Alligator mississippiensis: one gene and its partners. The protein of the gene in region 2 purifies or fractionates together with the protein of the main gene of each other region. This does not show direct contact. Links are inferred from orthologs where the notes say so. Each region holds a gene or a part of one and is shown on either strand. Other genes may lie near its edges. The genes, in order: DCAF7, MAP3K1, AXIN1 and MAP2K1.

Evidence for each region.
Region 1: the proteins of MAP3K1 (region 2) and DCAF7 purify together in Homo sapiens (affinity purification with mass spectrometry; 3 studies listed by BioGRID and IntAct, with this or other methods). This does not show direct contact. The link is inferred for Alligator mississippiensis from reciprocal best matches to the Homo sapiens genes MAP3K1 and DCAF7.
Region 3: the proteins of MAP3K1 (region 2) and AXIN1 purify together in Homo sapiens (affinity purification with western blotting; 5 studies listed by BioGRID and IntAct, with this or other methods). This does not show direct contact. The link is inferred for Alligator mississippiensis from reciprocal best matches to the Homo sapiens genes MAP3K1 and AXIN1.
Region 4: the proteins of MAP3K1 (region 2) and MAP2K1 purify together in Homo sapiens (affinity purification with western blotting; 3 studies listed by BioGRID and IntAct, with this or other methods). This does not show direct contact. The link is inferred for Alligator mississippiensis from reciprocal best matches to the Homo sapiens genes MAP3K1 and MAP2K1.

The regions. Positions count from the first base shown.
Region 1 is NC_081827.1:158,477,955-158,485,760, reverse strand, and holds the start of DCAF7 (DDB1- and CUL4-associated factor 7), read right to left. Parts: upstream 3,013-7,806; 5' UTR 2,804-3,012; coding exon 2,666-2,803; intron 1-2,665. UniProt on the Homo sapiens protein: Involved in craniofacial development. Acts upstream of the EDN1 pathway and is required for formation of the upper jaw equivalent, the palatoquadrate. The activity required for EDN1 pathway function differs between the first and second arches.
Region 2 is NC_081826.1:267,441,050-267,448,482, forward strand, and holds the start of MAP3K1 (mitogen-activated protein kinase kinase kinase 1), read right to left. Parts: upstream 3,018-7,433; 5' UTR 2,926-3,017; intron 2,704-2,925; exon of another isoform or gene 2,348-2,703; intron 2,310-2,347; exon of another isoform or gene 1,988-2,309; intron 1-1,987. UniProt on the Homo sapiens protein: Component of a protein kinase signal transduction cascade. Activates the ERK and JNK kinase pathways by phosphorylation of MAP2K1 and MAP2K4. May phosphorylate the MAPK8/JNK1 kinase.
Region 3 is NC_081836.1:22,317,143-22,324,603, reverse strand, and holds the start of AXIN1 (axin-1), read right to left. Parts: upstream 3,014-7,461; 5' UTR 2,800-3,013; intron 216-2,799; 5' UTR 130-215; coding exon 1-129. UniProt on the Homo sapiens protein: Component of the beta-catenin destruction complex required for regulating CTNNB1 levels through phosphorylation and ubiquitination, and modulating Wnt-signaling.
Region 4 is NC_081834.1:4,967,515-4,975,437, forward strand, and holds the start of MAP2K1 (dual specificity mitogen-activated protein kinase kinase 1), read right to left. Parts: upstream 3,009-7,923; 5' UTR 2,649-3,008; coding exon 2,569-2,648; intron 1-2,568. UniProt on the Homo sapiens protein: Dual specificity protein kinase which acts as an essential component of the MAP kinase signal transduction pathway.

The DNA of each region.
Region 1 (7,806 bases), on a different chromosome or scaffold from region 2:
GCATGTAGTTTGAATGCTTTAAAACTACTTCAAATCTGAAAGGCAGAACAGCCTAAAAGCAGACAGATGGGACTACTACAGGCTACAAGAACCCTTGGAGGATCCCAGTCTTAGGGAATAGAGATGGCATAACACCAGCTTTGTTCCCCAAACCACAAACTTATTTTTGGTACTTCTCAGCAGCCAGACCACAAAATGTGGCCAGTACTCTTAAGCAATCCAATCTAGTCCAATAACTGCTGGGGTTTATTATATTAGGTCTTCTAATTACAGTAACAATATTTACAATAGACTGCAACCTCATAGCATACATAGCCTGACTTTTTAATCAATGCCTTGATCTCTTAATGAAATGCATCACCATTGTAACCTCTCAGGTTTGACGCCAAGAAGGTATGACACAACAGCATCTAGTCAATGAATACATATCAGGTGAGGACACAGTGTTGGTACAGCAGAGAGTCCAACAGTCAGCATCAGTCAACTTATCACAGAAATACTGGTATCTCAGGTGCCACAGCCTGGAAACTTGGTAAAAGTTGGCTTTTAGTGGCTACCGCTATACTCATCTTTCAAGGAGGGCATCAGTTTATCCTTTGTCCTGTAAAGTTTTAACATTCAGAGTCAAATTATCCACTGCACAGAGTTTTCAAAATGAAAAGCATTTTTTTGCCCTTCCAAAATAGGTTTTATTTAAGCCTTTTTAAATGAGTAAGAATTCACCTTTAGAATGAAATGAGGCTCAAAATTTTCAGATCAGGAAAAGAATTTTTGGAGGAAGTTGATTGCATAGGGTTTTAAATGAAAGTATGTTCCAACTGGAACTACATTAGTTATGGTGACAGACAGCCAGAAACTAACTTCTCTGGGCCCAACAATGAGCAATTAAGCAGCCCTGTTAAGCTTCACTAGCTTCTGTCAAACAGTGAGACACAAGTTGGTTTTTACCCTCCCACCATATGCTGGTAAACAGTGAAACCTAAATACTTCTGCCTGAAAGTGTACCACTGGTTATTACAAGTAACGCCTACTACTATAATTGAAAGGAAAAAAAAAGAAAATTTCACTTTCAGTCCATTTGACACCACTCAGTGTATTTGTTTTATCCTGCTTACACGGTTCTTTCACAACAAATGGGATATTTAAGCAAAACAGGAACTAATGGAAGATGGTAGCACCATAGGCTATTTTGAAAATTATTAATTAAAAATTACTCTGCTCCCAGAGGATCTCCCCCCATAAAACTCCCCACTTGTAGGAAAAGAACATCATGAAGCCAAACTGTCAACTAAACTCTGTGCTGGTCAGAAGTAAATTAACCATCAGTGAATAAATTAACTTAGAAAGTACTTTATATAATGCTGTACAGACAATAACTTAATGATTTTAAGTGAAGTCACACCATGACTGAAGAATTCAGTCTATACACCACATTCAACATAGTCTGTAACAGGGACGTCCATCTGTCTCCAAGTTCCCTCCCCACCTCCACTCTTTAGCTGCCAGCGAGTGGAGCAGCGCTGAGAGCAGGTCCTGGGCTATGCAGGGAAGAAGAGGGTGGGAGGATCAGGACCCCAACCAAAGTGGGATTGAGCATAAGCAACAGCTGGGGAAATCACCCATGTTGTGGAACACAGGAGGGAAAGGGAGGTGAAGTCATGTGCCCATACTTGAGTGGTACCGGGGTTGTGGGGGTGGGACACTGCCTGTGGTGGGCTTGCAGTACAGTGGGAGTGGTGGGGAGGTGAAGAGCATCTAGATGCATGTCACGCTCAGTGCAGCCTGTGGCCCCCAGCGGTGCAGCCCTCGGGGGCTCAGAATTTGTACAGCCCTGCTCTATAATATTTATTCCTTTATTTCATCTCTAGCATCACATTTTTCCCATAGGATGGGGAGCTCCTGGGGTCTGCACAGAGTGGACTGAACCAGGGCCTGCAGAAGTGATTAGCTAGGGTGAGCCTGGAAGATGAGACTTCCGACTTGTATTCAGTGTGGATAAACAGGAGAAGCAGCCCACCCTGCCAGGGACAGATAGTGAGGACTCACTTCCCTGAGGAAGCCAAGGGAGCAGAGGGAGACCTGGAAAGTCAACAAGGGACCTGCAAACGTGAAAACTTTTATCCCTGCATGAAGCTTTCCCACTGGAATGAAATCTCGCAAAAGCCTACAAGGGGGAGCCACAAGAGTTGTGCTCCACAGCTTGCCAAGGCTGCCCGGGTGGTGCAGCAGTGCGCTAGGAAGCCCACAGCCGGGCATGTGCCACGCCAGAGCCTTTCCACCCAAGCCCCTTGAAGCAGCATGGCCCTGCTGCCTCCCAGGTCGGGAGGCTCCTTTAACACCTAGGCCTTTTCCCAGGAGCCTCCAGCCTTGCTCTGGAGCCACAAGCAGCAGCTTCTGGTCTCAAACTGCAGCAAGGGAAGTTGAGTTTGGATATTAGAAAGACTCTCTCACTAGGAGGGCAGTGAAGCACTGAACAGGCTACCAGAGGAGCTGTGGACTCTCTCCATCCTTGGAGGCTTTTAAGGCCCCACTTGGCACAGCCTGGGCCAGGATGATGTAGCCGGGGCCGCTCCTGCACTAGGCGGCTCCCGAGGTCCCCTCCACCCCCCGTCTCCGCGGCGCAGCCCGGGGGCCCAAGGGGGGAGGGAGGGCGGGCCCAGCCCACCTTGTTGTTGTACTCCTCCACGAAGCTGCCCAGCGCCAGGCGGAAGCGCTTGTCGGGCCGGACGCTCCAGTTCATGGCGTACACGGTCCAGGGCGCCTCGTACTTGTAGATCTCCTTCCGCTTCCCGTGCAGCGACATGGCGAGGCGCGGCGAGCGGGACCGGGCCGGGCCGGGCCGCGCGCGGAGCGAGGCGGGGGCTCGCGGGCCGGCCGGAGCGCGGCGCCACGCGGGCCCGAGGCAGGCGGCGGCGGTAGCCGCGGGCGGGCGGCGGGCTCCGGGCCCCGAGCACCGGTGTCCAGCCCCGGAGACAGCGAGCGCCGCGGAGGCCGTTTGAGATTCGGCCGCTCACACAACAGGAGCGGAAACCACGCGGGGCGCCCCGCCCGTTGGAGACCGGTTGGCTGCGCCGCCCGTCACTCCGAGGTGGGGGCGGCCATTGGGCAAGCCGCCTGCCAGTCACAAGCCCGCCGTGTCCCTATTGGCCGTTTTAACTTCCATTCTGAGCAGGAGCTCGCTGCATTGGGAGAGTTCCCTGCCGCTCCTCTTCGGCCCGCCCCAGGCGCGCGGGATGCGCGTTCTCAACATCTCATTGGTTGCAGCGGGGCGCAGTGGCCAGGCCCCTCCGCGAGGCGGGTCGCGCAGGCATGCTGCCACCCTATTGGCTAGCGGACGTGTCCGTTCGGGGTGAGCTGTCGGGCGGCGGGGAGCCCTGAGTCGGCGCTTCGAGGCGGGCTGGAGTGTCGGATCGAATCCCGCTCCCCGCGCCGGCCTGGGCTTCGCACGGCAGGCTCCGGCCCTTCAGCGGGAAAAAAGCCCCGCCCCCGTTGAGGCGCTGCAGTAAGGGCCGGGCTGCCGCTTCCCAGAGCGGGTCCTGGCAAAGCCACCACTTTTGTCCCTGGCTGCAGCGGAGGGTCACTGCGGAAGGAACGGGAGCTTGTGTGATGCTCAGGCCCAAAAAGCCTGCCCCACATTCGGGGGTAGCCCAAGGGCCTGGCTTGCGGGGACGGGGGCCTTTTAGCAAGGCCAGCACAGCCCTGGAGACGAAGCGGGAGGGGAGGCGCTTGCTCAGAGAAAAGCCTGGTGAGCGTGGAGCCAGTCTCCAAAGGCCCACTGCACACTTGGCACCAGTGCCACCAGCCAGCATTCTCCACCTCCGCGTCCAAAATCCCTTGCAGTTGTGCTGCAGCTGTGCGGCACGTCACTCGAGTCAGGACTGTTCCCAGGAGCAGGCCGAGGCACGGGGGCCCTCCACCCTGGTCTGCTTGGCTCCCAGCGTGACCGTGTGAAAGCTACTTTCCTCCCCCTGCCTCAATTGCCCATCTGTAAACCAGGGATGGGACAGCTCTGACTATCACCACTTTGTCCAGTCTGTCAGATATAGGAGATTGGGAACAGTGCTGCAGTAACTGTGTTGGGCTAGGTAACACTTGGGAAGCAAGGTTTGGTAATAAAAAATTCAATCTGTTCCCCCACCCCCAGGCTTAGTTGGCTAACACCATATTTTCTGCAACCTAGTTGTGTTCCCCTCCTCACCCCCATCCCTCTAATGTTAGTCCCTTGCTCGGGCGATTTGTATTTCCCTACTGGCTTTGTCATCTTTTTGGATTCACAATCCTAAACATTGCTAATAAAATTCAATCTGTATTAGGCCAACTGTGCAATTGGGAAGAGGTGTTTGTCAGCTTTTGGGCCCAACGTGCCTTTACTTGGGTCAGTTTCCTCAATACATTTTGTGCCCAGAACTTAATTAATGTCTCTCCCAGCTATTTGCCTAGTCCAAGAAAAGATATCACCAAATACGTCCTGCTTCCATCACACAGGTTATGAGTGCCACATTTCAACTTTTTTTCCTGTGCTAAAGAAAACGGGGCTTTGATCCTTGAGTGAGGTCCTTCGGTATTACTATAACAACAATAACCGTAGCAATGAACTGTTCGGCACTTGTAGAGGGTACATCCTGTGCTGAATGATTTACAAATGCCTTGTCACTCTAAGACACCCAACCAACAGCTTGCAACCTAGAACATTATCATTAAGCTCATCTTGCATGTGATGATATTGAGACACAGGGTGAGAACAGTTGCAGGGGCAGGACCATGCCCCATCGGGGACTGCACTAGGCATTCTGAATTCCCCAGTGGTATTTTCCCTGGTGGATTCTGCAGTACCATGTGCAGGAGGTGACCATATCACTGGATGGGACAACACACACATACAGCAGGAATCCACAGGGGCAGGTACTGGGACAACTAGACTGTGAGCAGTGCCTTCCCACAAGCAATTCACTTTGCTGCAGTGCTGCTTTGAGCAAGGACATCTTTATTATTTGGGTTTTGCTCGCTTGTCTTTGACTGAGACAAAAGTTCATGGAAGTTCTTAGAGGTAGACAAGGAGTCAACAAAGCAGTATTTTCTATATGTACTTAGTGGTGATTAAAAAGCAGCACCCCTGTCTCTCATCTCTTTAAAGAGCAAGGAATCACCAGACTGGATTAGTGCAGGGTACATGTAACTCAGCATCGTGTCTCCAGCACATCTGTCTATTCCAGAGGAAGGTGCAGGGAGCTCTGAGGTGGATAATTCTGGAGTAACCTCAACTCATGGGTGGTTGGCTTCTGCCCTGAAGTGTGAGGCTTTATTATCCTTCTTACTTCTTTAATCCTCTCTAACTCAATCCTGGATGCTCTCAGGATTCATATAAATCTCAAATCCCTTTTTGAATCCTCCCACACTTCTGCCAGTTCAGACTAGCCTTCTGTGTGTGGCATGTTGGCTATGAGCAGGACAGATCCGGTGAGAATGCTGACGTGGATTAAAGACACTGCCATATAGGATCTGCAGAAGCTCCATTGCCTTTTGGATCTCCAGGCTGAGGCTGGAGCCCTGTGGGGGGAAATGCCTCTGCCTGGAATGTCCCTGCTGCAGAAAGCTGATACCGACATTCTCCTGAAGTATAAATAGCTGCATCACTGGAGCATGTGTGTAGCCAGAGATAAGGATATGAGGCCCAAGCCAGACACAAAACAGCAACAGGTGCTGGAGAACTCCTTTGCAGCCAGGAGTTGCAGGGTCCAGCATTTGTAGTTGTTTCAGGCACAGGCATTAACTGCAAGGGGCCTACAGGACAGGTTTTGATTTCCTGCCATCCTGTCCTGAAGGGAAGGTGAGATGCTCTTCCATTCTGCTGATTCCTCCCTGCCTGACAAGGAATCCTGCCTGGCTCCTCCAGACTCTAAAGAAGAGTAAATTGTCTTTCAGGAGCAACCAATTTGTACCAGGCTGTAAATTGGTTGGTGGGCCTGCTCCCATGCAGGCAGGCTTTGTCCCCTTTGGAACTCCTCAGCCAGTCCAAACAATAGCCCATAAAACAAACTGTAACCCTTAATCCAAACAAATGAGCAAAACAAATCTTCAGCCTTTCTCCAGGCAGCAAAAGAGGCCATCTTAGCTCTGGCCCTTCCTAGAAGCAATCTCCACTGGGGTTTAGTCTGCCTCCTGGCCACAGACTGCTCCTTCTCCAGTTTGAGCTCCTTGCTCTCTCTCCACTTGGGCTTTTAACTGCTAGTTCCATAGTTTCTAGGGTCAGCAGGGACCTGAACAGATCTTCAAGTCTGACCCCCTGCCCTGTAGATCCCATGGCACATGAGGTTTGCTGCCTGCCTGGAACTCGGATTTGGAACGTCACGGCAATGATCCCAGACCTCATCCAGCCCTCTGATCACTACCCCTTGGTCCTCATCCATGTGGGCACTAATGATGTGGCCAGGAGTAGTTCGGACCATGTCATGAGAGACTACAAGGCTCTGGGAGCCAAGCTTAGGGAGACGGAAGCACAGGTGGTTTTCTCATCTGTTCTTCCAGTGAGCAGATGCGGATGGCACCACAAGGCCTGCATCGGAGAGGTCAACCGGTTGCTTCAGAGCTGGTGTTACCGGGTGGGCTTCGGATTCTTCGACTATGACCCTGCACTTCCATGCAGGAGACATGCTAGGGCGGGACGGGCTACATCTCTCCCCAAAAGGTAAGCGTGTTTTCTCTTCCAGGTTGGCTGATCTCGTACGGTGAGCTTTAAACTAGGTTCATTGAGGGATGGGGATGCAGAGGTGCAGGAGGACACTTCGATGTCAAGCCAGGTGACACGAGCAGGAACAACCCAGGTAAGTGACAAGGGCCCGGGCAAGCTTGGGAACAAGAGGGCAGCATAAACATCCATAGGAGGTCTCAATTGCCTCTACACAAATGCTAGAAGTATGGGGAATAAGCAGGAGGAACACACCCTCCTGCTAGCTAGCAAAAACCCAAACCTGGTTGGGCTTACAGAAACCTGGTGAGATTCTACTCATGACAGGGCAGTAGACATCGAGGGCTATAGGTTGTATAGATGAGATAGAGTAGGGAGAAAAGGAGGGGGGGAGGGGTGTACCGCACTATGTTAAAGAGCAGTACATGTCCTTGATGATCAGGATGGGTTCAGAAGAGGGGCAAACTGAGGCACTCTGGGTTAGAATGCAAGGGGGATGTGGGGAAAGGGACTTGTTAGTGGGCATCTACTACAGACCTCCTCACCAGGGGGATGAGCTGGACCTGGAGTTTTCAGGTCAGCTCATGGAGGCTGTAAGGACAAGGGATGTCATTGTCACGGGTGACCTAAACTACCCAGACATCTGCTGGGAGGATCAGTCAGCCAGGCCTAAATACTCATGTAGGTTTTTAGCCTGCATACAGGACCTCTACCTAACCCAGGAGGTACATAATCCCACCAGAGAAAATGCCTTGCTGGATTTGGTCCTTGCCACAGGCAATGACCTGGTGAGGGATCTGCAGGTGCTCGACTACCTCGCTAGTCACTCACACTTGGGCTCCTACCCCAGAGCTGGTTGCCCCACTTAAAGGGCCAGACTACTCTGCTACATTTCTCAACATACAAGAGTAAAGTCTGAGATTCCCTTTTCCATGTTCAGTCCCTAACATCTGCTAAGTCTGCACTAGCATGTGCTGCTCCAGGGCAACAGAGGAGGTTGAATAAATGGGACTGCAGTGCCAGGTACCAATGCATGAGCTGGGGATTGGCTTTCTTTATCGTGTGTAGTCATGTCAGGGCAGCCTGGTTCATGACTATAGTAAAAGGGCCCCAAGAAGATA
Region 2 (7,433 bases):
AGCTAGTACTACTATATAAAGTGCCATAATGCTTCTAAGCCACTGTGCAAGGAAAAGCTTCAAGCAACTGATTTAAAAACCTCAAATCTGTTTAAACCAGAAACGCAAGTCATGATAGTAAGGCTGGAGTAAGTTCAACTTTGCTTTCTGAAATACTAACAACAAAAAAAGCACTTCTAATCAACTATATTTATGACAATACATGAAGCCAGTTCCTAACTGTAAAATTAAAACAATCTATGGCCTATATGATTTTGACCTTCAGTAAAGTAGCTGCTTATGATCACTGACAACAATGAAAAACATTTCCAGGCACTGAACTACAAATGAGCAGTCTGGAGGGTTTACTGATTCTACTAAGCTATCTGCTAAAATCACCAGAAAAATCATGCCTAGCCAAAACATGTGATCCTGTGAGATCTTCTAGAATTTAGTTCTTTAAAAAGGAGTAAAACTTTGCTTTTAAAAGAATCCACCACTTAAAATTCAATTAAGCAGACAGTCTGAAAATAAACGTACCCCCCCACCAGACATTCGCACAAAATAAAAAGGACTTAATTCATATACATACATAAATTGCTCTATATTTGTTATTCTTCGTTTTTCAAGAGTAACAACTTAACCTACTAAACACAATTTCACCTACTAATAAACACAACTTCACCTACAAAAATATATAGTTATGCCAGTAACAGTCCACTAATTTACATTGACTTGCATGATTGGCAGACACAACAGGCACTTCATAGATTATCTGTCCTGTGATTAAAAATAATAAAAACGTCTCTTTTGGGCAACAACATGTATCCAAGACTGATAAAGTGGAGGATTAGAAGTTTTTGTTGGCCTAAAAACGCACTGATCAAATGTTACAGAACTTTTCCCCTTTTATTGTAGAGACAAAGGAAATAAAAGTATCTAGGGACAGGAAATAACATTTTCCTGTTCAGTGCAGAAATGTCACAAGCAGATGAGTAACATTAAACGTATTTTCTTTCAAGCAACATCCTCAAAATATACTAAATTATGATTTTTGATATGGGCACTATCAGAAATGGCTGGGTCCTACATTTTCAATACAATAAATCAACCCAAATAGTTGTATCGTTTTAATTTCTGGAAAAAAGGCCCATTCTGAACCAGCAGGGAGAATCAGATACTGAAGTAGCTTGACAGTGTGATAACTGTAGATGCCACAAATATATTATCTTTTGCAGTATCTTCTTAATCCAGTAATTGAACAAATCCAGTAATTTTCCAGTAATACTCTAGTAATTTTCTGGCTTACATACTATAGTGATTTATGGAAGAACATTTTTAAGCAGTTAGGAACACTTTTATGCTTTCCTAATGGATGTACACGTTTTCTTAAAGATAATGCAAAGGTCATGGTAAAAATCGTATAGTAAGCTCTAAAGCTGTAACACAGACCTTGAGAAAAGAAGAAAAAAAACACACTCTAAAAACAACTAAAACGAGACGAAATATTGTCCTGCTGTGCACCAAATTTGTACACAAAAAGAAACAAACCCTAATAAAAATTTGTCAATCCTTCATTAAAAGTGAAAGACAGATTATTTGTTACTTGCATTTCCGTAACAGACCCTACCAAGAAGGGAGACCCAAATATATCAAGCTCCCTAGCAGAGGAGGGCAATTTTCACACTCCTTCCTTCTTCAGCCACAGCTCTCCTCTGATGGCAGTGGGAGCTCTTCCCGAATAAGACTTGAGTCCATAAAACGATACAGATGCAGAAATCTAGGTGTTAATATCTCAGATACTTTAAATTAATTAAAATAAACTGCAACTGTAATTTCATGTCCACTGTTTCAAACGCATGAAGTTGTACACAAGACAGAAAACACTGCCCTACTAAGAGAGAGAGAGAGAGAGAGAGAGAGAGAGAGAGAGAAGCACACTATTTCATTTGTTCACATAAATTGTGATTAACTTCCCCAACGGATACAAAAAAGTCTTTTAGTGGACCTCTGACTTGATTCCACGAACAAAGTAATACAACAGCGAAGGCTTCACAATCTGTACTTGTTCTCCAAAAAGCAGAAGCAGCTATCTTTCTCTCTCATGTGACAGTAAATCCAATCTTCACTTGCTTTCAACAAAGAACTGTTGTGTTTTTTTAATGCAGGTGGGGAAGACCAGCTGAGACTTAAAGTGCTTTGCCCAATAAATGAAGATCACTTCTAAAAACAGCAAAGATAAGTATGTGTACTGCCACAGGATTTGAGACATTCCCATTTGAGACATTCAAAGAAGTGTACTTATATTTTGCTCAAACTACAGCGACGAGGAAAACTCATTAAAGTAAACAGCGTTCAAGACAAATACCCTTGTAATTGTGCCTACACATCCAAAGTGGCCTGCAAGGCGCTGTTGAAGCTGGTCACAAATTGGACCTGTACCCAAAGTCCTTACTTCAGGCGAGAGACACCAGAAGGTGCAACAACGATTTTGTCCAAGTGATGCCTGCCAGGCTGGTCCCCAGGTTACTCCTCTCCTCTTCAAAGCGTCGGGATCAAGAAAAACAGCGTCTTACAAAGTCGGTAAAGGATACCCATGGCTCGAGCCTACATTATCCTGCAAAACGTGCAGGCACGAAGCTGACGTGAAGCCTGTCAGCATATCCCGGCCGGGCGAAGGGCGGTCACGCCACAGGCTGGAAGTGACATGGCTGCAGTTCAGTCACTAACCGTGTCCTCGCCAGACCGAGCCCAGGGCACGGATCCGCAGCCCCCGGCACGCGTGCGCCATTTTGCGGGGCACGCGGGCCCAGGGAGAGGCCGGACCCGTGCGGCCCAGGCCCCGCCCCGCCCCTGCCCCGCGCTGCGGCGCGCGTGCTTCGGCGGGGAAGGGGCCCGAGGCCGCGCAACCCCCGCCCCGCCCCTCCCCCTGTGCGCGCCACTGACCTGCTGCCGGCTCAGGCGCGCGCGCGGCGCCAACCGCTTCCCGCTGGGGGGGGCGCGGGGGGGAGGATCCACCCGTCCCCGCCGCCGCCTGCCCCGCGCCAACGAGCCCGCGAAGGCGCACGGCGCCAGCCTCTTCCCGCTGGCGGGGGGGGCCGGGCTCCACCCGTCCCAGCGCCGCCGCAGCCGCCTGCCCCGCGCAGCTGAGCCCGCAACAGCGGGCGGCGCCAGTCTCTTCCCGGGGCCGGGAGGCTCCGCTCCGCTTCTCCCCGCGCCGCCGCTGCTGCTGCTGCCGCCGGCCCCGCGCAGCTGAGCCCGCCGCGGCGCCAGCCTCTTCCCGGCGCTGGGCCGGGCCGGGCCGGGCCGGGAGGGGCTGCGCCAGCCTTCGCCGGGCGGGGGCTGCGCTCCGCTCCGCTGCGGGGGGCGGGGTGGGGCCAGCGGCTGCGCTGCAGGGGCGGGGCCTCCCGGCCTGGCCCCGCCCCCGGGAAGAGGCCGACGCGGCGCGCCCCTGCGGGGTGGGCGGGGCCTCCCCGGGAGGACGCGGGCGCCGCGCGGGGGGGGGGGCGAGGAGAATGTTGTGGGGCTGACCACCCCCAGCACCGTCCCTGTAGTGGGGCCACGCGGCTGTGTGCGGCCCGCCCGGGCCCTGGGTTGCTGCTGCAGGCAGAGAGCGGGCTGCAAACAGAGCCCGCATCGGCTCTGTGTTGGAGGCAACGGGGAGGGGCTAGGACAGCGCAGCCCCGCCTCCTCCACCACAGTCCGCCCAGAGCTGCGCGGGCAGCTGTTGCCATCTACGCAGATCCGGTGGGTCCCCGCCCCCGGTTGCCTGAGGCGGGGCTGGGGGCGGGGCCAGCACAGTGTGGGGGCAGGGGGCGGGATACAGACCCCCGCCCCCCAGCTGTGCGTCTCTTCCCGCTTATATGAGGTAAGCACGTGGCTCTGGGCGGCTTCTAGCCCAGTAGTTTGTCCGTTCTTGCAAAAACGAGTTTAAGATTGTGTATTCAGTTCTTTTTGCCTTGTTAAATTATTTCAGACTTCTCTCAAGCCACTTTGTACCTTTCGGTTTATTTTCCTCTGTTGAGCTGGTTCATATTCAGCTTTTGCGCTCTCTGCACATAAATCGGCTTATTTTGCTCTGGTAAATCGTTTTGTACTCAGTTTTTTTCACTTGCTTAAACCAGTTCACACTTTTCAGGTTTTTACTTCATTAAAGCAGTTCGTATTCAGTTTATTTTGATCTCTCTACTTTGCCATTCCTCTGCATTCCTGGATTTAAACACTTCATATTGCTCATTTTTTTTGTGCGTTTTTCCTGCTCTCTGATTGCCTTCTTGGAAACACTTACCTAGATTTACACACACTTCAAATAATTCAATTCTTTTTAATTGTCTGCTTTCTGTTTGCCTATTTACATTGTTTTGTTAGCGTGAACTTCAGGAAAATTTACAGTTAGAAGCCATATAGATACATAACCCCGGATAGTAAAACTCTAACTTTTGAAATAGTAAAAAAACTTTTTGGATAGTAAAAAACCAAAAGCTAGGTATTCAGAAGTTTCAGCCAGCATGCAGAGAATTGTGTGGGTTTGTGCAGCCAGGAGATCATGTTGACTGTCGTCTGTGCAGTAAGAGTATGGTATTTTGTACTTCCAGCGTCCAGCACCATTTTCCAGCCAAGTACAAAGCCAAATTTTCTGGAGCTGATGAAGCAGACGAACATGAATCCATTTGAAAAGCTTTTGATCCGTTCCAAAAACAGCCAGCCAGCTTTCCTAGTTTCGTAACTAGAAATACTCTTTCCACCCAGGCAAATTACGTTGTAGCTGTAGTATAGCTTCTTGGATATACAAGTGTTTTACAGATGGAGAATACTTAAAGGATGCTTTCTTAAAATGTGCTGAGGATCTGTTTTAGGATTTTGTGAATAAGAAAGACATCATTGCTCATATTGATGAAATGCCACTTGTCATCCAGGACTCTTCAAAGGCAAATAGATGCAATGGCAACTAATGTTAGGGAACAAATGGCTCAAGACCTCCATGTTTGTGATGTGATGAGCCTTGCACCGGATGAAAGCACAGACATAAATGATATCCCTAACCCCATCTTGCTATAATAGTTCAATATTTTATCTCTGGGGAAGTTTGGGAAGAATTGTTTTCTTTGAGCACTATGCATAGCACACCAATGGCCAACAATATACATAATGCTGTCAAAGATATTTTCATGCAGCAATAAATTGACCTGCATAAAGTGTTCTCTGTTTTCTCTGTTACCACTGATGGCACACCTGCTATGATGGGTAAAACAGCTGGATTTTTTTAAACTTTTGAAAACTGAGATTGGACATCCTCTTATGTGTTTCCATTGTATTATTCATCAGGAGAGCCTGTGTGCTATGATCTCGTCTTCTGGTTTAAATTAAATCATAACAATGGTTGTGAAAATTGTGAGCTTTTTGATTGCTCACTCCTCTTTGACACAGGAGATTCTGTGAACTTTTAAATGATATGGATTCTGCATATGGAGATTTAGTGCTGCAAAGTAATGTATGCTGGCTGAGTTGAGGTAATGTGCTCAAGAGATTTGTTGCTTGTCTCAAATCCATCAAGTTTTTTTCTTAAGGAAAGTGGTCAGCAATATGCAGACCTTACTGATAACAGATGGCTAACAAAACTGATGTTTTTGACAGACATCACATCACATTTAAATGATTTGAATACTAGATTACAAGGAATATAGAAAACCATTCTTCAGCTGTCTGAAGACTAGAAAGCTTTCTGTGATAAGTTATCTGTTTTCAGATGAGATATCAAAACACATGCCTTCCGTTACTTCCCCCGTCCGAAAATCCTTTCTGAGTAGCATCAATTGAATAAGGATATATGCAACTACAGAAGACAGCTGGAAGATGAGTTCATAAGACCATTCCAAGACTTGCAACAGGTCCCACGTTTTCATTTCTTGTGAACCCAGGTGGTACTAGGGTAAGTGATATAGAACTGTAGTACTTTCAGTGGATGAACATTGAAGGATGTGAATTGGAACTGATTGACTTTCAAAGCTTATACATTTAGGTACTGAAGTTCAAAATCACTGTGAGGTGAATTTGAGAATGAAAGGGACTGGCAACTCAAGATTACAGCATGTTGGTCTTTCCTTCCTGAAAAGAATGCCTGCATGAAAAAAGTAGCTTTTGCCTTGGTGTCTGTCTTTGGATCCACTTATCGCTGCGAACAAGTGTTTTCACAAATGAAAACCATGCTCAGTCCTATGAGAAACCATCTGATGACTGACACTTCAGATTTATGTTTGCATTTGACAACCAGCTACCAACCTAACATCACCAAACTCAGCTGTCAGAAGCAGGGCCAAGGCCGCCACTAAGAAAAGATCTTTTACTTGAGAGCATTTTTACTTGTTTATGGCAGTGAATACAGAACATCTATTTTAAGGAATTAAATAAGTGTATCCTTAAAGAACCAACATCTTCCATGGCAACATCTCTTTGGAGAGGTATGGGTGTGGTATAGAGGTGGCGGAGCCGTGCGAAGACCCAGGATGTGATCTTCCACGCCTCACTGTAAAGGCCAAGGACAACCAGGTGCCAACTCCTTTCTTTTTCTATTCTACCTACCATTTAAGGCCAAGATGTGGTGGATGAACAAAGAGAAGACAGGAGTAGGGTAGGTAGGAGTGGGCCTACACTGCCCCCTGCCGCAGTATCACCAGGTGATTAGTGCTTTTCTCTTCTCTCCCCTTTTTTCTTTCTCTTTTCTTTCCCTCTCTCTTCTCTCCTCTTTTTTCCCTCTGTCATCACAACATGCTTAAAAAAGAATACACAACAACGAAGGTAGTATTTGAAGTTTTATTTATTGTCACCAGATTTAGAATTTTTAGAAAACCTGGTGTTTACAAGGCAACATCTATGATTATTAACTATATTGATATGCAGTGTGTCCTGCCATGTACCCCTGGCCCTGGTTTGGTTTTTCTGGTATGCTGGCACTCCAGCACCTTACAAGGTAGATATTGTAGTTTTTTCAGCACTCCAGCCAAAAATGTTGCCTACCCCTGGTCTGGTAGAATTTAATAGAAAAGCATACCCTTGCTATGGAATTCTATGAGATTATTTTTAAAAACCCCTAGAAAGGAAAGCATGCACCATTACAAGTTTGAAGCTTTCTATGAACCCATCTGGTTTCACTGTTATTAAATTCTATAGACCTTTTCCATACATACAATTTATATGCTTTTAAATAAGGCTAAAAACTTAGCTCCTCCACTAGGGTATTGTGAAGTTGGAAGCATGATTCTGCTCCCAGTGAAGTAAGATGCACACCTCCCACTGCAGAATCAAATCCTTAATGTAACAATGTTTGTGAACATTTTTAAGAACCTCTGATGCATGAACAACATAGATGTAGATGCTTTCATTTCAGTCGCATACAGCCTCGTCATTAATCTCCTGTACAGATTCCACATTCCCCATGTGAACAAGATCAATATTAA
Region 3 (7,461 bases), on a different chromosome or scaffold from region 2:
ACCATGGCTAATTGGCCTTGGATCTGTGGCAACTAGTTCACCTTCCTCACCAGGGACTGGTGGCCTTGGAGCATCTTCAGTAAAGCTTCCCCCAAGATCCAAAGGGAAACTTTTCCCCTGGACATTCATGTTTGTTTACATGCACAGGAACAAGGACAGAACAGCCTAAGTCTCAAATCCCCACTGTTTGTATTTCCAACATGAACGTGTTTATCCTGGTGAAATAAATGAGAACAAAGTTAAGAGATATTGCATATTCTAAGAGATATCCTAAGAGTCTGGAATGGCTATTTCTGCTTCACAGGATTATGTTCCTAGTCTTCCTCTTGGTACAGTATTCCAGTACTCCTGAATTTCTTATTATTGAGTTATCCAAATTTTAAAACCACCATGAACAATCCTCAAACATGGTTGTAGATAATTATGTAAATGGGACACTCAATTCACTTTTTCAGTGTGCATATTTCATTATGAAGTTTAAATTAGAAAAAAATATAGTGTTTAGTCATGCAAAAATAAAACACCAGGTAAATTCATGTCTCCAGAATGGTTTGGAATTTCTTTTGGGGCACATGGGACGATTCTGAATGTATTTCCATTTGGCACTTAAGCCAGGAATATAACTTAATCAAGTGTAGACAGCCTTCAATACAATCAGTTGTACTTACAATATGAACTGCCTCTACAGTCCAGCAGTTTTTGAAATGCGCTGCATCATCTTATCACATTAATCAATAAGCAATTTGAGTGGTACGAATATTTGTGGCACCAGAATAATTATACCAGAGCCTTTAATAAAATTAAAATCCTAATATGCTGTCAATTCTAGATATTTTACATGGTATCTAAATTAAACTTTTGCAACAAATGAGTATATTCTTATAAGAACTACTAATCTTTTCTTATATTACATGGAATGAAAGGTATTTATTGATGGTTCATTTAAATACTATTTGCTGCAGACCTGAGAAAAATTCAAATCATCACCTCAAGTTGTCTTGATGTTTAAATGTATCGTTTTTTTACATTTTCCAAAAACGTAATTTGAGAAAACATGGCATAGAGAAGATGTATGTCAAGACGTACATCAAGGTAACAATTTCAGGTGATGACTTGAAATTTTCTCAGGTCTGCAGCAAATAATATTTAAATGAAACATAAGTAAATACCTTTCATTTCATGTAATATAAGAAAAGATTAGTAGCTTTTTATAGGGAAGGAAGGAAAAGGATGGAGATATAAAAATGTAGATACCTACTTTGTATCAAGACAATACAATTTAAATCTTCAAAAAACACTAGTAATCGCAAAGACCTGAGTGCTATAAAGCTACAGCTGTCTAATAAATCACTTCTTCAAACAAAATCTTAATTGCACATGAAAATATACCAAGGAAACCATTCTGAAACAAGCCCCTCATGCAAAGATCACCTCCACAGATGAATAAGTCTTTCAGACACATTTCCATTTCCTTTGCTCTCAACTGGCCTTAAAAAAGAGAAGACTTCCTCAATGCCCTGAACATCCTAACAGAATAAAGTAGGAAACAACATAACAAACTAATTAATTTTTAATGTCTGAATAACTGCATGTTTCAGCTATACCTATCTGATCATGGGACCAAGCAATGTTTTTACAACTACTGGATTAAAACAAGCATGAACATTCAGTTGCTATTCTGAGGCTTTTCTTAACACCTGTAACCAAGTAGATCATTTCATGCTAGGCCATGTTTGTTGTAAATTTCTCACCCAGCACTAGAGCAACGGAGGTCACGGAATTAATTTGATTTTCACAACAAAGATATTCAACATAATGATATTGTAGCCATTTCATTCAGAGGTGAACATCACACTCCAGCTGACATAAGCCATGTTGCTCATTGTTGCAAAAACAAAACAAAAAAGGCTCTGTTCCTCACACCTGAAGAAGCACTTGGCATTTTACCTCTAGAGGATAAATAACATCAAAGGACTTCTGGAAATTGCCAGTATAGATGGATCAAAATAAATCAAGGAACATCAGATTAAAAAAGAGTACAAGCCAAGGCCCAGGTCCTGGAAACTGTTCTACACAGGTGCTGTGGTCTATCTGTTCCATTTACACCTGGGGGTGGAGGCCTCGGTGCACAAGATTCGCATTTCCACCACAGGACTTCATAGGCAATTATCATTCTCTGACAGCACTCATCCTGAAGTTCTCCCAACCAAGAGGTTTCCATGCACCATTTGGCGCTTAGCCTGCCTGCCTGTTTCCAGGTAGGTAGTTCCAGCAAAGGAACTACACATCGGACGCCGATGGGGGAGGGAGACGATGGTTATGCCCGAATAAACTGCTGTCTCTCCGGCCACTGACACAAGGGGAGCTAGCGGAGGGCGGCCGGGCTCAGGGCTGCGCACACCGCCGCGCCAGGCAAGTTCAGGGGGCGCGACGCAGAGCGGGGCAGAGCAGAGGCCGCGCGGCCCGGCTCCCTCGCCGCACGGGCCGACGCGCCGGCCCTGCAAGACCCCGGCGCCGAGCGGCGCCTCCAGCCCACAGGGCCACTCCCGGCCCCGACGCCGGCTCCCCACAGGCAGGCCGGGTCCCAGGGCCAAGCGCCTGCTCGGCCCGCTCCTTCCCGGCGGCGGCGCCCGAGTCCCCAGGCTCAGGGCGGCCTAGCGCCGGGCGCGGAGCGGCCCGCTGCCGCCAGCCCCGCGCCACAATGGGGCGGCTTGCGCGGCCCGGCCCCGCGGCCTCGGCGCTTGGAGCTGAGGGCCTGCGCTGCGCTCCGCAGCTACCTCCCGCCCGCCGCTCACTCACCCGCTCGGAGCAGCAGCTGCAGCGACGCGGGGCCCGGCCCATGCGGCTCAACAGTGGCTGCAGCCCGGGGCCGCAGGCGGCGACGTCCGCGGGGAAGCAGCACAAAGCGGGCAGCCCGGGACCCCCATGGCCGCAGCCGCTTGCTCTGGCAGCGACACGGAGAGCAGCGAGCCCCGCGCCGCTCAGCTTGCGCCGCTGCCTCCCGGCGCCCGCGAGCGCTCCGCCGCGCCCCCCGCGCCCCCGCCCGGTACTGCGGCCTGCACCGCCGCGGGAAGGGAAGGGAAGGGAAGGTGCGAGGGGTGGGGGTGCGGGCGCGCGGCCCGAGCTGCGCGACCGCAGCTCCCGGGGCCAGCGCTGGCCTGGAAGGAGAAGGGTAGAGCCTGAGGCACCGGGGAGACCCAGCCCCAGGTCCGGAGGGAGCTGACTGACAAACACTGCTACGGAAACGCGGGCAGACGGCTCACTTGCGCAGCTGTGCTCTCTGATAGCGGCACTGAGGCGCTAAGAGGAACAGCTCTGACATTTGCACTGAAAGGGATTCCGTCTTCTTTTTCACACCTTAGCGAGCAAAATGCGGGCTCTAAATGTGCTCTGCCGAGACGAGGTCAGTTTCTGATATCATTTTTAAAAGAACAAAAAGTTCCTACGTTTTGCAGGAGAAACATTTAAAACTTCTCTTTTTTTAAATCTGTCCGTAATGGTTTTCTCCCTGTTCCCGGGTCTTGTAGCTAAGCAAACCCAAGTCACATGACCAACACTTGGCTAACACCTCAGACATAAACTACTTGAAAACTTAAAATGTAATTGCCCTCTTATTTTTCATAACCTAATCAATCTCCACAAAGAAATGTTAGGTCCATCAGCTTCTTCCTTTTTCTGATGCTAGTTGCAGTAGCTGCAAACTCTCTGTTTTAGATATCCTGGCCTTCAACTCTTTTCTGCCCCTTCAATCCTAGGCCTGTACAAAAGGTCTAGAAGTAAGAAGAAGTAGAGGCCATGCTGTCAACGCCCCCTGGGGATTGTAGTTTTCTCCCAACCATGGGCATCTCTGATGTGACTTGTGGTTTGGAGAAGGCACAGACCCATGCCTAGGGCCTGTTTCTGGAGCTACATGATTACACCAAAATGTCAGCTTTCATCAACATAAAAAGTAAACATCTATCATTCCTAGTTTGAAAACCTGACCAGCATAAGTGATACCTCCCCAAGTCTACGAAGAGCCCAGGCCATGAGCACGTGGATGGGTTATGCCACAAGAAGTCACATCCTGTGTTCAAAAAGCTGCAAACATGATGCAGTCCTTAAAGAGATGTGCCCCACCACCCCAAAATAGGCAGGGGCAATTTAATGACACATTTACAACCTGGGCTACTTGTCTCTGTGCAGCTGCCAGTGTGATTTGCTTCAACTATGTTTTCAACTTCTACTTTTCTTTCATACCCTATAACCTGGGGCAACAGCTGTGAGACAGAGTATTGCTCTCATACTGTGTTAGCTCCAAGATCCACCGTTCAGGGGGCTGGTGGGGTGAGGAGGTAGCTTACTACATTAGCAAATATACCACAGGTCCTGGGACAAGTACTTAGGGAGAGAACGGGGACCCATGCTGCTAGCACTGCCTTACTGGATGGGGCAGACATTACTGCCATACAAATGGAGGGTGGGACCAATGGGACCTCCCATTGACCTAGGATCCAGACTGCCTTTCCAACTCTGTCTGTCTGGGAACATGAGGAACCCGGTTGTATTAAAACTCAGTTGTCAGGATCCACAAAAGAAAGCACCTAGTCTTTAGGACAAAATAGGCAATGGTATAGGTCTCTTCAGAAGACAGGGCTGTTTGACACATATTGGGAACATGAGCCTTATGCTCACAGAGCAACAGTTCTCCCCCGCCCCCGTTAATAGAAGGGGCTATTGGGTATGTGTTAACTGAATTTGTGGGACAAAAGACAAAACAGGAACGGGAGTGAAGGTCAAATGTTCAGAGTAAATGCACCAAGGGGGCACACTAAGCAAGATGTGCTGGACAGTGCCCACTGGCCCTCATATGAGTCCAAGGAGCCAGCAGAGTAGATACTGCCCAGTGAAACTCTGCCTAGAGACCTGAATGGACCAGAAACAGGAAGATGTCCCTGCAGTCCCTGGGGGTCACCTCACCCAGAGCCTCCTTCCTGATCAAGTAGATTGCTAACTTGGCTAGGGCCAGGAGGAGGCTGACCAGTAGGTCCTGGGACTTGATGGGACCACAGATGAGGAGGGCATAAATGAAAAGGTGCAGGGAGTAGTGAGGGAGCAGGAGATTCTGGAGGAGGTGGTGAAGGGACTGCAGCCTGGTGCATTCAGGTTAGGCATGTCTCAGGGTCTCCCTCTGCTCACAGAAGGGGGAGGTGTCGGGGGTATGCATGAAGCATGTCAGGTACATGCCTGTGGCAACAGTTCCATGGAGGAGCCACCAGCTGAGATCCCCAGTGGCTCACAGGATCAGGCTGGAATAGAAGCTCGTCCATCAGGGATCCTTGTCCTCACTGAGGGTGTCTCACCACATAGTTTCTGGGCAGGACACAAGGACAGGACGATAAAGGGTGCAGACCACGAGTGTGTAGATGTGGTGGCAATGGGTTGCCCAGCCTTTAGATGTGTCATTCCAGATTGTGGGTCAAAGCCCACAAGTAAAGCTATAAGCCCCACTTGATTGGGGGGGGCACACTAAGGGCACATCGTGGATCTCTTGGGACAACTGAAAAACAAAACAGGGATGGGAGTGAAGGGCAGAAGATCAAAATGAGTGCACCAAGGGGGGACACTGAGCAGAGCACACCAGACAGTGCCTTGGTCCTTGAACAAGTCCAAGGAGCTAGTGGACACTGCCTAGTGAAATTGCCCGGAAACATGAATGGACTAGGGACAAGAAAGCAGCCCCATAGTCCCCAGGGGTCCTCCCAGCCAGAACCTCCTTCCTGGTCAGGAACATTGCCAGCTAAGCTGGGCCTGGAGGAGGTTGACCAGGAGGTCCTGGGACTTGGTGGGACCATGGATGGGGAGTGCATAAATGAAAAGATGCAGGGAATAGTGCAGCCAGGCCCTCAGCAGAGATTCTGAAGGAGGTGTTGGAAGGCCTGCAGCCTGGTGCACTCCAGATAGGCATGTGCCAGGGTCTCCCCCTGCTTCCTTTGCCTGCATTGGGGGTGTCTGTGAAGCATTACAGATGCTTACCTGTGGCAACAGCTCTGTCGAGGTTCCATCAGCTGAGGTCCCTGGTGGCTCATGGGATCAGGGTGCAATACAGACTCATCTGTAGGTGTGGTGGGGAGTTCCTTTTGGCCTGCCCAGCAGTGGTGACATGTAGGGGGTGCACAGGGGTGCATGTGCAGCCCCTGAGAGTGCTGGTGCACCCCCTGACAGCCACTGTTCCCCACTTAGGCGAAGGGCCGGGAGGGTGGGGGGGGCAGGTGAGAGCACTGCTGCCCCACTAAAAGTGTTGGCCGGGGATAGGTGTACCAAGAGGAGCGATCCCTGCGGTCCCTCCGTGGCCAATTGTGCTGACCCAGAAGTGCCAGCACGCTGCTGGCACTTTTGGGTCAGGGCGATTACCACCCCCGGTCACTGACTGGCTGCTGGGAAGGCAAGTGACCACCGTGACTCAGGAGGCACCAGTCACCTATGCTACCTAGGCAGGGATCCCACAATGAGTCCCAGGGGGCTAGGAGATGATTCCCTCATGCAGGACCTAGTCAATGTAGGCATTCAGCAGAAGACATGATAGAGATGCACCTTATAGAGTAACAAAATCAGACGTGCATAATAGGGCTGTGTGAAACAGTGCTGTTCTGCTTCGACTTTCGTTTCGACGTTTTGATGGCACAGTGTTTCATTTCAAGTCTTGTTTCATTTTGAAAGCACTGTTCCATTTTGTCAAAACTGTTTTGCTGTTTCGGTGCTGTTTTGACATTTCGCCCACCCAGTGCTGGGAAGATCAGTGCTGCTGCTGGCCCCAGCCGGCAGCACCAGCCTCCTATCATCCAGCAGACAGATCGGGGGCCTGCACTCCTGGGAGCAGTCCGGCACAGCCCCTGCAGCCCTCCCTCAAGTTTCGTTTAGTTTTGAAAGCACTGTTCCATTTCATAGAAACCATTCTGCTGTTCCGATGCTGTTTCGACGTTTTGCCCACCCAGTGCCGAGACGATCAGTGCTGCTGCTGGCCCCAGGTGGGAGCACCAGCCTCTGTCATCCAGCAGGCAGATCAGGGCTGCCCACACCCCCAGCATGGCTGCGGGGGCTGTGCTGGACTGCTTCCAGGTGTGCAGACCCCCAATCTGCCTCCCGGATCGCAGGAAGCTGGTGCTGCCGCCTGGGGCCAGCGGCAGGCAGGCCTGGGGCAAATCAGCTCGTGCAGGGACCTGACCCCACCCCAGGACCAGGTGGGGGCAGGACCCCACACAATCCGATTTGCACCGGGCTGCGCACCCTCCTCAGGCCAGCTCCAGTACGGGGTCCCAGGGATATCAGGGGGCTGATCAGGGTGGCAGCGGGTCTCTGCATGAACTGATATGCCCTGGGCCCCTACTGGAGCTGGCCAAAGGAGGGTGCGAGGCCCAGGGTAAATCGTGTGGGAACCCTCCCCAACTCTGGCATCAAGGTGGCAGCAGGTCCCCACATGAG
Region 4 (7,923 bases), on a different chromosome or scaffold from region 2:
TACGTGTGCATATGAAACCAGGCTATGAGTAACTAAAGGACACCCAGCCAGTAAGTAACTTAGAATGGCATAAGTTGAGCAAATGAACTACTACAGGTGTTATTAGTTTTACACGTGCACGGCACTTTTCATTCCACGGAATCTTGAAACATTTTACCAAAACCTAGGTACTTCTATAATGTATAGCAGGATTAATTTACTTGGACATGGTAGAATTTGGAAAGGGAAAATTAAATCTAAGGATGAATTTATAGGTTAAGGCATAACAAAATAAACAACCCACAGCGCATCCTAATGAGGGTTAGTGCTTGGGGGGGAAGATGGGGAGTTCTGGGTTTTGTGATTCGTTAATTTTGCTGTATAAACGAGGACAGGTTGAGAGATGCGTGTTATACAAACCATATCATCAAAAGAACATCGGTCACCCCTCATCCCCCACAGGGCCGAATATGGGAAGCAACATCTGATCCCAAATAAGGGAGCTACACAGAAAAGCTCCTTAGTACTGGAAACTGAAAATGCTAAGACATCCTCTCCTTTATGAAAATAACACTTTTCTTTTTAAGTGACCTTAATTTCATGATTCTTTGTAAATTTTCAACCACAGGAGTGAAGGGACAAATCGGTATGTAATCCCAAATTTCCATACAGCGGTCCAGTGAATGACATTTCTTGGCAGGAGGAACATTCATCGGAAAGGCTCACTTTAAATTTAGGTATCAAAATTAATTCATTCGTTTGACACATGCCTCGGTTTCTCTCCTGCAAACTGACAATAATAATGTCTACCTCTCAGAGATATGGAAACATCAAACCAAATTACATTTGCAAAGCCCTTAAAAGGTAACTGAACAAGAAATGGCATAATTTCAAGGTATTATTATATTTTTGCCACACAATTCCCAGCAGATGCTGTGTCACTTAAACCATAACTCTCAACAGGGATCATCACTTACTGTCAGAGCAGGAAGCTGAGTTCTCAACAATCTATTTGGGCACCAAAATAATAAGCCAGATTTTCAAAAAGCACACTAGATATTGAATATTTTAAAAACTGGGTCAAGCATCACAACGAGTGCTACACATTTTGGAAGTCTCTTATTTAGGTGATTAAACAGAAACTGAGCTCAATGGAAAAAAAACAACAGGCTCTGATTGCAGGGGCTGAGCACTATCACTACATGACTAACACAGCCGATAGGACTTCCATTTCAGATGCTGTCTGAGAAGAGCCACAGCCGTATTTCTTGTAATTGTTTGCCTACCTAAGAAAACAAAAGGCTGATTTCATCCTGCTGGGTCAGGAACTTGTGGCTCCATGGCACAGCAGTTTTCAAACCACAGCCTGTAGTTGTAATCCATCACCTCAGTCTAACAATGAAGTGATGAATGCAGACCTGTTGCCTCTAGCAAACTCCTTTGGTAATACTCTACACTACAGCTAGCGTAACTGTAAGCTTCTCTAGTGATCCCGTTTTCTTCGTCTTGTCCCATAAATTCACAGATTATTGAAAAATAACAAGTAACAATTTAATCTGTGCAACCAAAATGCGAGCTAATTAGATGTCCCTTTTCACCATGCACAGCTACTCTTGGTTTAGTTCTATACTACATTTATATAAGAGGAAGGCAAGATTTTTTGGGTAGATGTGATATCTTTTATTAGACCAGCTAAGTAGTTGGAAAAAAAGTTCTTTGCAAGCTTTCAGACACAAGCACCTTTCTTCAGGCATAGGAAGGGTGTTTGTGCCTGAAAGCTTGCTAAGAAGTTTTTTCCAACTACGCACTTGATCTAATAAGACATCACATCTATCCAAAGCTTACCTGCCTATGTCCTTAGACAACATGGCTACAGCCAAGAACTCTGCAACATATACATACATACACATTCATTTGAATAGTATATCAAGGAAGCGTCAAATATTTTTACAATAATACTCTTTTAAAACCCTGCAATACGGATGAGGTAAGTGAAATCTGGATCTGATATAAAGGGGAGAAGTTTGTTGTTTTTAGTCAAGGAAAAAACTGCCTTGACTCATTACAAACACTACCTAAGGCTACCCGAACTGAAGGAAGTTACAGAATTTGCATTTTTGACTTGTTTACGCTGTGAAACTGACAAGACTTGAGGCACCACCTAGTTCTTCACACTTTCACATAATCAGTTCCTCCCCAGCTGAAGACTCATTTTCGAAGTATTCAGCAAGCAAAACAAAACCTCTATGGGAATCATTTAGATTCTTTGAATGCCAAACTATGCTATTTGCCGTGAGGTCTAAAAGCATCAGGGATTTTAAAACACAGTAGTTGAGAAGTTCTGCTCATGCTGTCCCTCACTTGTGCATTTTGTTTTCCGCACAACGATGAAGTATTTCCTACAAAACAGTGCTCTCACTTTGCATTGCTGAAGTCCTAGAGAAGATACAGCAACAATTTTCTCCAACATCCTCAGTGCACAAGACCCAGCCCGGCCACTAGCAGAACAAACACTTGAGCTCAGCTCGCCCAGCCCCTGCCTCGCCCAGCGCAGAAGTAACACCCAAGCCCTGGGGACGCCGCACTCACTCTGCAGAGCTGGTCCCATTGACGGTGGAGCCATCCGGGGTCGGATTCAGCTGGATTGGCATCGGCTTCTTTTTCGGCATTTTTAAATAAACAGAACGCGAGGCTTAAACTACTAAGAAACCTTTTTTTTCCGATCAGAAAAAGAGGACTCCCTTCAGTTAGGCAAACTTAGAGGCTCCCCTAGCTTGGAGGCGGTCTTCGCTGCTAATCAGCCCGGCGCGCCTCTCCCTGCTCCGGATTGCTCTCCGGCTACACGGGAGTGCGCCCCTTCCTCAGCTGCTCCTGATCTCCCAGCTCCAAAGGCCTCTTCCCGAGTGAGAAGCTCTGAGCTGCTCCGCGATGCAAGTGCCCTGGATCAAAATGTGCCCTTTTTCTGCTACTGTGCATGTGCAAACTTCTCGGGCGGCGCTAGTGCGCAAGTGTGCAGAGCCCGCTCATGTGCACTGAGGAAGTGAAGCTGCACTGAAGCCTTGCCCTTACCCTGTCCTTTACCCTCAATTTTACTTCCCGGGGAAGGCGTGGGGCTAGTGGTGTTGCCTAATGGGAGCTCCTCTTGCAGCTGCTCTCATCCACATCCCTTCCTCCTGGGCTCGGTCAAACTGCAAGCCGCAGAGCCATGAGGGTGGAAACCAGCACGGACCCGGGCAGAGGTCGGAGAGAGAGGAGGGAGGAGGCTAGCTTCTTGCCAGCTGCTCTGGAGCGGAAAGCACCAGACACCGACAATGCCTTCTGGCTTTAAAGACGGATTATTTTGGCGCTAATAGTTTGACATTTAACAAGCGACTTTGCAATATTGAGGTTTGCAAAGAGACAGCAGGAAGCTTGCAGGACAGTTTGGGTTTCCCTTCTGTTCACCTATTATGCACTCATTTGATAGAGACTTTTCTTAGGACCCGGTGCCCCCACTGCGTTCTGTAGGGTGTCTTTTTTTTCCAAAAGAAAACGCGCTTTTTGGTCCCTCGTGAAATAATTAATGGATCTCATGTATTGCAACTCCAGTGGACAGTGTCACTTCCAACATCTGTACATCGTCTCAGTGACTCTTGGACAACACGTCACAAGGACAATGCTCTTAGTGTGTGCCTCATTGTTGAAAACGCATGTGTCATTTGAGCAAGTGTTGGTTGTAGCTGTGTGGCTCTAAGGGCGTAGGCAGACAAGGTTCTGTGGGCTGAGGTGATGTCTTTTATTAGACCAACTAAATCGTTGGAAAAAATGTTCGTTGCAAGCTTTTGGGCACAAAAGCTTGCAAGGAACAATTTTTTCCAACAATTTAGTTGATCTAATAAAAGATATCACATACACCCAAAGAATCTTGTCTGTCATTTGAGCTATGCAACTGTGAAGTGGGCAGAAGGATTTTACTCTTAAAATACTGTTAACCTTCTGTGCCATTGAGACTATGTCTATCTAGGAAAAGGTGCATTTTAACACGTTAGCTAACACATACTCATATGTTAAAACCCTAGCTTTGCTGCGTTAGCTGGTGTGAAGTCAGTGGAACGATGCCAGTTGGTAACAGCTAAGGATCTAGTCAGGAGGGCGTATGAGAGCATTTTAGTTTTCATATGTGTTGCCTATACACGGTAAACCCTAGTAGAGAACTTAGGGTGGGCCTCAACTGGCCAACACTATTGGTTGTATTGCACTAGAGCAGGGGGTGGCAATGTTTTTGGACAAAGTGCCAAAAACACCCACAACCTCGATTTGTAAGGTCTTGGCTTGCCAGGGGTGAACAGTGGCAGGGCCTGATCCTTGTTGTGGCAGTTGAGCCCCGGCCTCTTCCCCGAGGTGAACATGCCAAGCAAAATGCCTTCGTGTGCCACATTCTGGCATGCATGTTGGGGGTTGCCTACTCCTACATTAGAGCCTAGGACCCCTAACCATGGACTAGGACCTCAAAGTGGCATGGCATTGTACAAACACAGAACAAACAGAAGACAGCCCCACCAAGTCACAATCCAAGAGCAGAACAAGAGACAAGAAATGAATACAGAAAGGGTCTGAACCATATGGCACCACACAAAGTAATACTGATGGGATCTACCCTGAAACTGTGCGATGAATGAGTCATTGCCAAATAGTTTATGAGTTTATTACTAAAGCAATGATTTTCAACCAGGGGCCCATGGCATCTTGGGGTGCTGCCATGTCCTTTGTGAGGGTGTTGTGAGGTGTGGCGTGGGCAACACACTTCAGGAAGGATGTGGAGAAGCTTGGGAGAGTCCAGAGAAGAGCCACTCATACAGTTAGAGGCCTGAAAAGCAAGCCATACAAGGAAAGGCTGACAAATATGGGCCTGTTCAGCCTAGAAAAGACTCTGGGGGGATTTGGTGGCAGCTTACCAATATATCAAGGGAGAACATCAGGGGCTAGGTGAACAACTATTCACCAAAGCACTCCAGGGGAAAACCAAGAGCAATGGTCTTAAACTCCTAGAAGAAGGTTTCATACTGGATACAAGGAAAAACTTCATGGTTTGTGTGACCAGATTCTGAAAGACTCCCAGCAGGGGTGGTACAGGCACCTACCCTGGAGATCATCAGAAGGAGACGGCACGCACACCTTGCTGGGGTTATTTGACCCCAGTGGTTTTCCTGCCCACAGCAGGGTGGCTGGACCCAATGATCTCATGAGGTCCCTTCCAGCCCTAAACTTCTGTGAATCTGTAAGGGAATAAACAGATAAGCACTGGCTCAGACTCAGACCCGCCTGGCTAATCTCCCCACCCTAACTGCCTGGCCACTCTCCAAAGAGATAAGTACTCTAATATATACTTTTTTTTTTTTTTTAAATAGGGTGCCACTCAATTCACGAAGAGTATGGGGGGGGGTGCTCAAGTCGAAAAAAGGTTTTGAGAACCACTGTACTAAGGTTTCAATTGTTATCAGTACCAATATCCAGTTTCTTTGTACAGCCTTTCTTCTGCTTCAGTTCCATCTTGAGACTTCACTGTTCCAAGTTTCCTTCTGCTTGGTACTGGAAACAGAAACCAATGATTAGAAGCATACTTAGAGATGCCTTCCTTCCTTCTGTGGGCACAGGAGTAATTGACAGTTCCTGTGGTGTCTTAGATGGTCTCATTAGAGCGTCTAGATAAGAATCAAGCTCGCCTAAGACTTCAGGCTCCTGGTCTGGTGTCAGAGCGCAAAAGTGTGGTTTCAACAGTCAGTGGCCTGAGTCTACCATGAAATTTAACTTTCCATGAGATAAAACTTGACTTGGGATTCCCAAATCTGTTGTGGGGTTTTTTTTAATGATTTACAAAATGCAGATTTTGAAGTGATATGACCCTCTCCTAAACAATACCGGTATTTATTGTGCTCATCATTTGAGAAGGAATTAATTCTACATGTGATAGGATTTAAAATCTAGTGACCTGGATTTAGTTGTAATCCAAAACACTAGTACTAGATCTAAACCTTCAAAATTAATTAATTTTAAGGGTAAAAGTAGTCTACAATAAAATCAGTATTTTATAGTCAAAACTAACAAGTAGTAACTACAGCAACTACAGTAGAAAGTATCAGATTGAGCTATGCTAATACTGCCGAGGATAGTGCGTCAGACCCAAGACCTCTTGCGTGTATATCGACAACATTTTATAGAAGCAGGACATCAGCGGCCATGGTTCCCCTGCTTTACCTGTGACAGGTTAGGGTGCTAGATCTATGTTGTGTCATGGATGAGGAGGGTAGTCTTATGTAGGCTTAAGCTTTTGGATAAGGACTTATTGAATTCAAGGTGGCTACAGGCCAATTTTGCTAGGAAAACAAGGGCCCAGCCATCATTTTTCTGGGTGGCGTAATTTCTGATTGGCTGAGGGGCCTGCGGCCCACCCCTTGCCACTGATTGGCTGTGAAGGCAATGCAGCCCCACCCCTCGCTGCCAATTGGTGGAGAGGGGCAGGGCCGTATGATGGAGAGGTCTTGCAGGTGATGAGAGGCGCTGCGGGGTGTCAGTCATCTTGGGCTGCCCATCGTGCGAGCAGTCCAGCTTCCCCCTTTCACCCTCGGTGGGGAGCCAGCATTTTATTTTCAATAAGTTTTCTTTTCTTTTTCTTTCTGTGGATTTTGTGGGCATTGCCCAATTTCACGGGAAATGCCAGATTTTGCAAAATCCACAAAATCGTTATTGTGGTAGGTCCCTAATTATGGATCATACAGGATAGTTTGGATAGGGATGATCCTGCCTAAGGCAGGGGATTGGACAAGATAACCTCTGGAGGTCCCTTCCAGCCCAGCTTCTCTCTGACATTCTCTTAAGAGCTACTGATTACTTCACTTTCATAGTTTTATAGTTGGTCGGGTTGGAAAGAACCTGAGCAGATCATCAAGTCCGACCCCCTGCCATGGCAGGAAAGAGTACTGGGGTCAAACGACCCTGGCAAGGTGTTCATCCAGCTTCCTTTTAAAGACCTCCAGGGTAGGAGCCAGCACCACTTCCCTTGGAAGGTGGTTCCAGATCTTAGCCGCCCTGACAGCGAAGTAGCACCCCCTGATACCTAGCCTGAATCTACCCTCTCCCAGCTTGTGACCGTTATTTCTAGTCACTCCTGGTAGTGTTCGGGGGAACAGGGACTCCCCCAATGCCTGTTGGTCCCCCCTGACTAGTTTGTAAATGGCCACTAGATGCCCCCTCAGCCTCCTCTTGTAGAGGCTGAACAGGTCCAGGTCCCATAGCCTCTCCTTATAGGGCCTGCCCAGCTGACCCCTGATCATGCAGGTGGCCCTCCTCTGGACCCTCCCCATGTCGTGCACATCCCTCCTGAAGTGCGGCACCCAGAACTGGATGCGGTACTCCAACTGCGGCCTGACCGGTGTCACATAGAAGGGGAGGATCACTTCCTTGGACCTGCTTGAGATGCATCTGTGGATTTCAATTTAAAAGATACTACTAAAATACCTGCTTTTGTAATTCAGTGGTAGAATCCATGTCTGCCACACAGAAGACATGGGTTTGATTCCTGATGTGCGTATAACTACTGCCATGAAAGCACCACATGTCTAAACTCAGTCTGGCCTTTGGATTCTGTCTTAATGGCCTAAAGTGGGGTGGAAAGTCTGGGCAGCCCCTGCTCCTCCATAATCCTGTCTAGGCATGTGTGTCAAAGGTCTGGGTGACCTCTTATGCATATACCATGATCCAGAAGGACAGATGGTTGTCTACCACCACTGAAATAGTTTTGGCCAATATTTTTTTGGAAGAGGTTAAATTTTTTAAATACATAGCCATTATTTAATATAAAGAACTATCATATATTATTTGACTTAGCACCAAAAATTACTTTAAAATTAGCCAGATTTCTTGAACTGCAAAACTGGCATAAAAAAATGTGCTCAGCATTTACTGCAT